Macaca mulatta: one gene and its partners. The protein of the gene in region 3 purifies or fractionates together with the protein of the main gene of each other region. This does not show direct contact. Links are inferred from orthologs where the notes say so. Each region holds a gene or a part of one and is shown on either strand. Other genes may lie near its edges.

The links.
Region 1: the proteins of GLMN (region 3) and CUL4B purify together in Homo sapiens (affinity purification with mass spectrometry; 3 studies listed by BioGRID and IntAct, counting the BioPlex papers as one, with this or other methods). This does not show direct contact. The link is inferred for Macaca mulatta from reciprocal best matches to the Homo sapiens genes GLMN and CUL4B.
Region 2: the proteins of GLMN (region 3) and CUL7 purify together in Homo sapiens (affinity purification with mass spectrometry; 4 studies listed by BioGRID and IntAct, counting the BioPlex papers as one, with this or other methods). This does not show direct contact. The link is inferred for Macaca mulatta from reciprocal best matches to the Homo sapiens genes GLMN and CUL7.

What each region holds. Positions count from the first base shown.
Region 1 is NC_133426.1:126,934,800-126,938,451, reverse strand, and holds part of CUL4B (cullin-4B), read left to right. Parts: intron 1-426; coding exon 427-518; intron 519-1,609; coding exon 1,610-1,717; intron 1,718-2,703; coding exon 2,704-2,817; intron 2,818-3,652.
Region 2 is NC_133409.1:139,074,469-139,078,220, reverse strand, and holds the start of CUL7 (cullin-7), read right to left. Parts: upstream 2,534-3,752; 5' UTR 2,383-2,533; coding exon 2,235-2,382; exon of another isoform or gene 2,146-2,234; intron 1,882-2,145; exon of another isoform or gene 1,786-1,881; intron 1,301-1,785; coding exon 620-1,300; intron 275-619; coding exon 123-274; intron 1-122. Other genes in the region: MRPL2 (large ribosomal subunit protein uL2m), read right to left, coding at 2,753-2,965. UniProt on the Homo sapiens protein: Core component of the 3M and Cul7-RING(FBXW8) complexes, which mediate the ubiquitination and subsequent proteasomal degradation of target proteins. Core component of the 3M complex, a complex required to regulate microtubule dynamics and genome integrity.
Region 3 is NC_133406.1:148,035,489-148,039,140, reverse strand, and holds part of GLMN (glomulin), read right to left. Parts: intron 2,550-3,652; coding exon 2,441-2,549; intron 1,405-2,440; coding exon 1,167-1,404; intron 1-1,166.

The DNA of each region.
Region 1 (3,652 bases), on a different chromosome or scaffold from region 3:
CCTTTTCTTTGATTTCTGAAGGAGAATGTTAGCTTCTTACCCTTTCAATCGATTTCCTCTTTTGTCAGTCGTGTCTATGTATATATGATGAAAACATAAATTGAGCAAGCTCCTGAGGTTTCCAACTTATTGTACATATATCCAGAGCTGTTGTGTTTTTTAAGATAAAGCATTGTTCTTGGTTTTATTATTTGTATAAAAGTTTCCCATTTATTTTATACCTAAATAGTAGATAAGGTTACTACAGGATTAAAGAGTTTGACTCTGAATTAATGGGGCATACACTTTGGGGTAAGGATTTCTTTTTATTCTTATGAAAGTTACAGATCATACTAAAGTAAGTTTTGTATTTCGTGTTTCCCACTTTTAAACCTCTTTTGTTTTTACCACTTTAAAATATTATACATGTACAAACATCTTTAATAGAATGCGGAGCTGCTTTCACCAGCAAACTTGAAGGAATGTTTAAAGACATGGAACTTTCTAAAGACATCATGATTCAGTTCAAACAGGTAAAAGTGAGTTAAACTCTTACTTAATTCCTCGAACTTAGTTATATTTAGTTATCCGCTTGCTGTGATTTGTACTGAAGAGGATAAATAGAAACGTGTTTGTTGTAATTACTTCATGGCAACTGAGGTGATATTCACAGTAGAAAAAAAACCATTGGTGAAATATAAGTATATTTGACCTACTTTAGGATTTATTTTTAACAAACACCCAGAGTAACACAAAAATAAAAATAAAATGTATTGAACTGAAGTCAGTACAAGAAGAGCTATAGTGGGAACAGGGCTTTCCCCAGCGTCTTATCATTTGGTGATTTGCATGTTCAGAGCTTGCAGTGGGGAGAGAGGAGAAGTGATAATGTAGCTGTATAAAGCCTTTGGGGACACTGGGGATAGAAAGCTAGATCCACAGTTTTGAAGATGTAGGTAGAAAGTAGTTTTGAAATGTTTAAGAACATAGGTGATAGTGATGGCAAGTTAGATTTTCCTCTTTTGGGGTTTTAGTAGTGACTTCTTTACCCCACAATGTTGCTAAGGTGGGAAGTGGAAGTGAAAGAATTAAGAAAAAATCAGGGTCAGTAAGATTATGAATTCTATAGTAGCTACCGAATGGGGCTTATCTGCTTTGCCCTTTTCCCCTCTTTTTCCTTCCCTACTCCAGGCCACTCCCTGCAGACAGGCAGTGGAGCAAGCGAAAAACTGGAGACTTGGGCTGGCTGGTGGGGTGAGGAATGGGGATTGCTGCAAGATGTTTAAGCCATGTAGGGGTATTCAAAGGTGGGGACTGCAGGTGGTATTGGGGAAAAGAGTGGAGGAGAGATCCTATAACAGCCCAGCTGTATGTGAGAAATTATTTAAGTTGATAATGCCTGTAATGAGGTCATGTGATCCTTGTATGCCTTTGTATCAAAATGTTAACCTCTGTACTTGCCTAATGCATTTTGTGTAGGCTTCATTTAAAGTCCTCTTAATAATTGCCTTTTATTTTAAGGATGGTCAGTGTTTGCATATAATTTCATAACGGGGAACTTCTTAAATAGGTTATTATGATACGAAATGTATGCAGTTTTAAGATCTCAGTGTGTGTTTTGATCTTACAGTATATGCAGAATCAGAATGTTCCGGGAAATATTGAATTAACTGTGAATATCCTGACAATGGGCTATTGGCCAACATATGTGCCTATGGAAGTTCATTTACCACCAGAGGTAAGAGTTACTGTTTAGAACCTGAGTTATAGGCATAGAAATCATAACATTTCCATTTTGCTTGTCATTTAAAAATAGATACTTAGAAAAAAATAGAGACCCAGGGCCTCGCTGTATTGCTCAGGCTGGTCTTGAACTCTTGGGCTCAAGTGATCCCCCCTGCCTCAACCTTCCAAAGTGCTGGGATTACAGGTGTGAGTCACCAGGCCTGGCATAGATACTTTTAAAAGTGAATGTCAGTAAACACACCAACACCAAATACCAACTGCTTTAATATTTTACTTTTGTACTTCTAAGTCCAGTTAAGAGCCTAGCTAATAATGCCAAAGTTCTGGGTTCAGGATCAATTTCCCTGGCTCTTCTTCCATCTTCACAGATTATACCCCTCATTCTACCTAGTTATTAAGAATTCTTGCACATATTTCATCCATAGGTGGGATTGCTAAATGATGGGTGCTTGATTAAATCTATCCTGACTCCTGGGAAACTGTCTAGCCCAGGACTGAAGTCCATAAAAGGGATTAAGGCTAGACAGCTAGATATTGAGAATCCTCCATGGAGATGGTTATGAAGGCCCAGGGAGTAGATCTGTCTCAAAGAGGAAGAAAAAACAGCAGAGGCAGAACTTTAGAAAAGGCTCACATTTGGCAGATGGTAGAAAGAGGAACCTGTGAAGGAAACCAGTGCAGAAGCAACAGTGAGATAAAGGAACCAGCATAGTATAGAGGCACAAAAGCTGCTGCAGGTCAATGTTTCAAAAGAGTGGATGATTAAATGGTTCAGATAGAGCAAAGGGTATAAATCCTAATAAATCCCATTTGATTTGGTGGTTGGGAGATCATTATTTTTCATCAAAGTGATTGGTGGACCTACTGGATATAGTCTTAAAATTTTCCAGAAATTATATCACATGAGGTAAGTATAAAAAGTGGTAAATGTGGTATTGGGTATAGAGCTTAAATAAAGCCTTATTTTATTTACTTTAGATGGTAAAACTTCAGGAGATTTTCAAGACATTTTACCTAGGCAAACATAGTGGCAGGAAACTTCAGTGGCAGTCAACCCTAGGACACTGTGTGCTTAAAGCAGAATTTAAAGAGGTAAGTGGATGTTCCCAAAACTTTTAGTTTTCATCTTTGTCTTTAATATTTAGGTCATCTTTCTTAACTAAAAGGTTAGGCTATTGTTTTGTGTTTTTTTTTTTTCAGACAGAGTCTCACTCTGTCTCAGGGTGGAGTGCAGTGGCGCTATCTTGGCTCACCGCAACCTCCGCCTCCCAGGTTCAAGTGATTCTCCTGCCTCAGCCTCCCGAGTGGCTGGGACTACAGGCGTGCGCCACCATGCCCAGCTAATTTTTTTATATTTTTAGTAGAGACGGGGTTTCACCATGTTGGCCAGGATGGTCTCTATCTCTTGACCTTGTGATCCACCTGCCTCAGCCTCCCAAAGTGCTGGGATTATAGGCATGAGCCACCGCGTTTGGCCAGTTTAAGCTATTGTTTTATAATTGTATCCTAGATATCCGCATGACGACAGTGAGAGCTTGTCATAGCTTTATGTATTTTTAAGTAATTTTAGCTGTGTGGTCTTTCCACAATTGATTTGGCCCTTTTGCAAAACGAAAAGCAATGAACTTTTCCCCTACTCTTTCCTCACCTGTAGATGAAAACTTTACACTGCCACTTCCTATTTTTATTTATTTATTTACTTTTAGAGACAGGGTCCCACTCTTGTCACCCAGGCAGGAGTACAGTGGCACAATCACAGTTCACTGTAACCTCAAACTTATGGGCTCAAGCTATCTTCCTGCCTCCGCTTCCTAAAGTGCTGGGATTACAGGCATGAGCAACTACACCCAGCCTAACACTGCCACTTCTTGACAGAAATTTTGTTGCTGGGAGCTACGAATAGAGTGGGAGTTAAGGGGAACAGTGT
Region 2 (3,752 bases), on a different chromosome or scaffold from region 3:
CTACATCCACCTTGTCCCAGTTTAAGACCCTCTCTCCATACCATCCTCTGTAGATAGGTGCAAAGGCCTGGTCCCTAGATCTTGTTCACAAGCTCCCCCTACCTTATACCCCCAAAGGTTACCTGTGGTAGCTGAATGCCCTCGAAAGACATGGGATGTTCAGAGAGCGTGGCCTGTGCAAACAGTGCTAGCAGAGCACAGCGGCTGTCAAAATCCAGGTGTTTCTCAATGGCTTCTTGTTGGCTCAGTGACAGAAGGATTTGAGTCCGGGTCCCTGTAACCCATATCCCAATTAGTAACTTCTCCCTAATCTCACCCTTCCTAGAAATCTTAGACCCTCTATTCTTTCAATCCAATCCTTTTGCCATCACACAATGGGAAAGAACTGATTTGCTTCAAAAGCTAAAATTTGACAACTTATATACATACACACACGCACATAAACACCATCTACAATAGTCTAAACTGTAAATTCTTCCTTTGCATAAAAAGCAACTAATTAATATGAGGTTATTGAAGATAGTCTTTCCTCTTTTGGCAGATAACCCCCACCCTCACTCCCATTCCCACCTCCTTTTCTTCCAACTCTAAGAGAAGGGCAACAGAATCATTTACGTACTGATGAGATCAGAGGCTCCTGCCACAGTGTCCTGTGAGTCCCTGAGCCGACCCAGCCCTTCTGCTTTCCCTTCCTCCCCACACTGCCCCTCACCAGCATCATGGGAGGACAGGGCTTGTATCATCCGGCCTGCGCTCCAGCGAATCTGATAATCGGGACTACTCAACATGTGCATGAGCAAGTCCAGGACTCTTGGGTCCTTGAATACCCCAGTGAGGGGCTCGATGCTGGCATAGGCGCTGAGCACGTGGACAGTGTGAAGTAGAGGAGCAGGAGGGATGGTGCCCACACACTCCTCCAGCTGCCGAAGGGCTCTCTGAATGAGGGACTTCACATCGGTTTCCATCTCCTCCAGCACAGATTTGTCCAGGGCCCCAACCTCCCCTGAAGACTCCTGGGAGGGCCCGATGACCTGGCCATCCTCGCCCAGCATCTTGTGGCAGTTGGCATAGATCTCATCCTTGGACATCCACAGCAGGATGTGCTCAGCCTTGCAGTCCACTTGGCCAGAGCCCCCGTCACCCTCATCGCCACGCCGCAGGATGAGCCAACGGATCTGGTACTCAGGATGCCCATCATGGCCCACTCGCTGGCGGATCAGCTCATCAGGATAGGCATGTAAGCCAGGCCCCAGGGGCACCCTGAATTCCCTGTAGCGGAGTTCCCCCACCATCCTGGCACCTGGAGCACACAAGGAAAAGAGAACAGACAAGCTAGAGTAAGGAGAGGTCAGAAAATCAAAGACATCCAGGAGGTGGGGAAGCAAATGGCAACAGCTGTCAGGCGGGGTGGGGTAAAGCCAGGCCCAGGAGTTGCATGCTGCATGCTGAGTCGGGGCAGGCCTAAGCAGAGAACACTGGGGTGTTTTGTTGTGAAATAACACAAAATTTGGGGGCTAAAAGGAAGGTCCCCAAGACCCTGAGGCCTGGAGTGGGTTGGTTTGGAACAGTGGGCAGACTAGTGGGGGCAGGCAGGGCAGCCTTGGAGTTACAAGTGAATCCCAAGGCCTTGAAACAGGCAGCTACCCTGGGGATATGTGAAGCCCAGAGGGGTATGTTTGGGAGGGAGATCCTGAGTGTGTGTGGAAAGGGGTGCTGTCTCTAAGGATTGGAGCATGGGAGTGTGAGACCCAAGTTAAGAGTCCCGAGATCGCAGAGTTAAGAGACCTGAGAACTGGTGGTGGAGTGGGAGGGCAAGGCGCGATGGACTGGGAGGAGGCACTGGTGGGTTGGAGGCGCCTCTGACTGGAGCGACTGGAGCAACTGGAACAAAAGGGCTGGTGGGGGCGCCGCGAGACCCAGGGCAGGGTGCACAGACAAGGTAGGTGAGGGGCGCGAGGCTTGGGGGACCGAGGTTGGAGACCCGAGAAGCCAGGGGCGCGCGGTAAAGTGGGGGAGGGGGGATTAGGCCCCATAAACTAGAACCCCGAGGCCCAGTAGGATGGGGAACCGAGGTTGGGTGAGCGCAAGGCTCGATGGGCAAGTGGGCAGGAGAGGAGCAAGGGGCCGCGGCGGGGCTCTGGCCACCTCAGAAGTCCACCGGGGTCCTGGCGCGAGGCCTGTCCTTCACAGAGCAAGGGACGCGGCACAGATGCTGGCGGCGACTCGGGCCCCACCTGGGCCCCGCGAGGGGGTCGAGACGGAGAGACAGGAAGGGGCGTGCCTCTGCGGAACAGAGCGGTAGCCGCCTGGGTCGGCAGCCACTGGGGCAGGGTGGAGCCTGGTCCCTGCCAGCGTCTCCGCCAGCCAAAAGCCACGGCTCATTTCCGCCGGACCCAGCGGAAGGCTAGGGGCCCTGGGAAAGGGCCGGGGAGGAGCCGCGGATGCCACCTTGGCGACGCAGCACCTCCTCCTCTGCGCCGCCCTTTCCTCTTCCTTTTGTCCTCCCTCCTGCGGAAGTGCCCACCCTGTTTCCCAGTCACAACTGGAAAAGGCCTTGGACGTCATTTATTTCCACCCCCGGCTCCATTACCTGTAAGGGAATTGGGGTGGGGACAGACCCAGTGTCCTGTACTTTCTTTTCCTCCCACACTTTTTACTTCTTTTCCCCACGTTCAGTCTGTACCATCCCCTCCCGCAAAAAACCAGTAACAGATTACAGGAGGGGGAGGCATTTTATTAGAGTACAGGGATATCAGCTTTGGGCAGCAGCAGAAGGCAGCTTCACGTAACTCTTCATAGGGGGTAGTGGCCGAATCTTTCGGCCAGCCCAGCCTCCCTTGCGGTGCCATCGCCCACTGTTAGGCCTCTTGCCCAGCCAGCGGTTGCGACCTGCCTTGCCAATGACCCGTTTGTTATGATCAACGTTGGATACTCGGCCTACTGTTGCTATGCACGTTTCCAGCACCTGACAGAGAAAACAGATGGAGATTCTATACAATGTGGGGGAAAGCGCTTGACAGTGTTGACAGCAAAACCCTTGGGGGCTTCTTAGACTCAAGGAGAGGAGAGAGGAAAAAGGAAAAGCACAAGATGGTTGAAGCTAAGTGAAGGTCCTACAGTAGGAACTAGGTAGTTGAAAACAAAGAGCTGGGCGCAAGGACTCAGGCCGGTAATCCCAGCACTTTGGGAGGCCGGGGCTGGAGGATCACTTGAGCTCAGAAGTTCGAGACCAGCCTGGGCAACATAATGAGACCCCATCTCTACAAAAATAAAAAATATTAGCCAGGGCCAGGTGCAGTGGGTCACACCTGTAATTCCAGCACTTCGGAAGCCTAGGCAGGCAGATCGCTTGAGCTCAGGAGTTTGAGACCAGCCTGGCCAACATGGTGATACCTTGCCTCTACAAAAATACGAAAATTAGCCTGGTATAGTGGCGTGCGCCTGTAGTCCCAGCTACTTGGGGGGCTGAGGCAGAATTGCTTGAACCCAGGAGTTTGAGGCTGCAGTGAGCTGACTGTGCCACTGCACTCAAGCAATAGAGACCCTGTCTCAAAAAAAATTAGGGTCGGGCACAGTGGCTCACTCCTGTAATCTCAGCACTTTGGGAGGCCAAGGCAGGCGGATTACGAGGTAAGGAGTTCGAGACCAGCCTGGCCAACGTGGTGAAACCCCATCTCTACTAAAACACAAAAATTAGCCAGCTGTGGTGGTGCATGCCTGCAATCCCAGCTACTCAGGAGGCTGAGGCAGGA
Region 3 (3,652 bases):
TGGTCTTGAACTCCTGGCCTCAAGTGATCCTCCTGCCTCAGCCTCCAAGTAGCCAAAATTTAAAAATTACTGGTCCATGTAATTAAATAATCTAGTCTATCACTGTCCAATAGAAATATAACATAGCCCTACATTTAAGATCTTTTAGTAGACATATGAAAAAAGTAGTAAGAATGGGAGAGATGATTTTAATAATTTATCTTAACCCAATATATCTGAAATATTGTCATTTCAACATGTTATCAATATAAAAATTATTGAGGTATTTTACTGTTTTTTTTTTGTTTTTTTTTTTTTTTTAATAACAAGTCTTCAAAATCCAGGGAATATTTTATACTTAAAGTACATCTGAATTTTGACCAGCCATATGTCACATGCTACAGCCATATTGAACAGTACATGTTTAGTCTATAGCACCCATGGAGGGAATGCTGTTGGGTGGATACTCTACTACTATTTTTGTAGTCAAGTTGGATGTTCTGTCTGGTGGTCCTTCTGCTGCTTTCTTTGAAAGAGTAAAACACAATTTCTCCACAGAGCTACATATATCTATTTCCCATACTCACCCTGAGCTACATGTATCTATTTCCCCCACTTTCATTATTCACTTACTATGATGAATAAAGGCAATACAAAGAAGAATATAAAGTAAATGAATGGATTTTGGTTTTATAATTATTTTATTAATTAGTTTTTTAAAGACAGGGTCTTGCTCTGTTGCCCAGGCTGGAGTACAGTGGCCGATCATCATTCACTGTAGCCTCACACTCCTGGATTCAACCCATCCTCTAGCCTTAGCCTCCCAAGTAGTAGCACTAAGGTATATGCCACTATATCCAGCTAATTTTTAAATTTTTTTTTGTAGAGATGGGGGTCTCGCTATGTTGCCAAGGCTGGTCTCAAACTCCTGGCCCCAAACAATCCTCTCATGTCAGTCTCCCAAAGTGATGGGATTACATGTGTGAGCCACTACACCCGGCCTATAATTTTTTTAAATATAAATGTCTCAAGTCCCCATGCTGTATGAGTTGAACCCTACATTCTTCTGAAATTCAAAACGTGAAACTAGATTTCTATTTACATGTCAAACAAGGTGAAGAAACATAAAATAACTGAACTATCAATTACTTAAGTCCATTGTGAGATGTTCTTAAAATTATACTTACAATTTCAGTAATTCATCCTTTAACTTTTCATTTTCCAGTGAGTTTTCTTTGTTATCAATGACTTCTTCCACAAAAGGCTTAGTGAACTCTATTAAGGCCTTGCAACACTGACAAAGGCCATAGTCATCCATTTGTATTTGTTCTTTTGAGTATGGAACAGGAAGAAGAGATAGCTGATTCCAAAGGGTAGACAATGCTAATCCAATTGAATATGCCTTGTTATGAAGTTTCTGAATCACTAGAACAAAGATCAAGTTGTCGCTCATCAAGTATGCTAAACATGGGACAAGAAATTCGGCAAATGTGGAATTACAAGATACCTCCTCCTTCCATATTTTAACAGCTCTTGAAATCAAGATGACACATCACAGTCTAACTGGCAGTGTTTTTTTCTTCTTAGTTGTGCATAAAATAACACAGCATCTTGCCATGAAATGCTGTTTAGGTTATGTTTATAACCAACTATGTGTAACAGGCTATGTACTTAAGACAAACATGTTCTTTCCATGTTTTTTGTGTTATAAGCACAAAATATGAGAGTGTATTGTAAACTGCAAAGCACTATACAAATAGGAGGTGGTATTATTAGATTTTTTTCCCCTAGAAGACAGAATATTATAGGTGGTATGAAGCTGGTAGGCATTCATATTTAAAACAAATATAATTTCTGATTCCAGGTCCCTCTATCAGACTGTGAGATAAATGAATTTCCTAAAATGAAAAATAACCTCTTCCCATGGATACTGTCTGCCTCGGTTGCCAAGACCCATTACCTACCAATATTGTTACTGCACTCAGCCATGGAGCCTTATCATGCCATATCTCCTCGTTTCATTCTTCAGTAGTACCTTTGCTATGCCCAATCCACCTCCCAAAGCAGAGGCTGAGCAACGCCCTGCCTGATACTCTTCTGGACTACTATAATGCTATCAGATTTAGTACTGCAGACACCACAGAGGTAATCCTTGAAATATGTTTCGGGAGAAAATTCTAGATTTAAGCAGCAGATAGGAAGGTTAGGCAAAAAGGTATAGGTTTCAATACAGCACATGAAAAATAGTATGACATTCAACAGAATATTTACTGGGTACCCACTCTGGCCAGATACTATAATCTTTCCATGAGCAGCAGAATTCACATTGGCATTGCTATTATTCGTTTAAGCAGAGTACTCACTAATTAGCTGTAAACTTTGGTGTAGTATTGACATTTTGGGGTAACCATCAAGGCACTTAAAGATACAAGAAGTACTCTGATATCAAAATTCTCATTACCTGTTTGTAATGGCTGAAGCAAAAGAAGAATACTTTGGGATATCTGTTTTCCAGAGGGCTCTTCAATCAGTTCAAGCAAACCCAACAATAATTCCTTTGGATTGCATAACTATAAAAATATTCACAATTGAACCTGTTTAATACAAGTTGTATTTAAAGCCACATTATTACTATTTTTAAGAAGACATATATTGACAAAAAATATTATACAATTATGTTTTTGCTTAACATTAAAATTATTTATACAATTGTTAAAAAAATATGCACTAGCAAAACACAGAATCTGTGATGGTCAAGTAACTATAAAACTAAAAAGCAGCAAGAAGTCAATGGATCTTTAAGCTCAGGTTTCCTTTGTGCTTCACCTGTCTACTCTGAAATTGCCTTAATAAATTCCCAGGGGCTCCAGCAGGTGGGACCTTTCAATCCCACGCTGCAAGCCTATTTAGGCTAGTCCGGAATCGCTTCTGTATTTTTTAAACAGGTGAAACTTTGCATTGCTTTCTGACTGGCAATATTTTATCATCTCACTTGACTGTTTTTTTTTTAAAAGCTCCCAGCTCCCTTAGTCAATAACTCATACAGACGGAGCTCTCCTTCCAAATATATATTTGGGTATATTTACACTGATCACTAAGCAGTTTCTTATAACATCCTTCTTCTCAGAATTTTTCTTTCTTAGCCATCAAATATTGCCTTTAAACTCTACTAGCCTTTTACCAATGGTCTCTTTCTAAGGTTGTTAGTCACAACTGATCTGTGTTCTACCCCATTCCTACTTTCATTTTAATCACTTGTATTGTAGGCTTTCGATTCTCTTTTAAGGAACGTACCACAAAGAAAGAGGACTGAGATTTTAATTCTAGTTCTAATGTTGCCAAAAGATAAATGTGACCTTGAACTACCTCTCTAAACCTTGTATTCCACATCTATACAAAAAGTTACTTGTTAAAATATAGCTTCCTAGGTCTCCCCCTGGAGATGCTGAATCAATGGGTCTGATATGAAGTTAATGAGGTTAGAAAATTCTTTTATCCAGAGAATTTGGGAAATCCTGAAATGGAACTGCCTATCCAATCAATAAGACTGGGTCTTTTCTCCAACAAGTTCCTTTCTGCATGTACTTTCATGAACTGAAAGCTTTCTTACCAAACAATAAACATTAAAGGGAATTATAAAATACTGCTGTGTATTATGACAAAGAGAACCTTG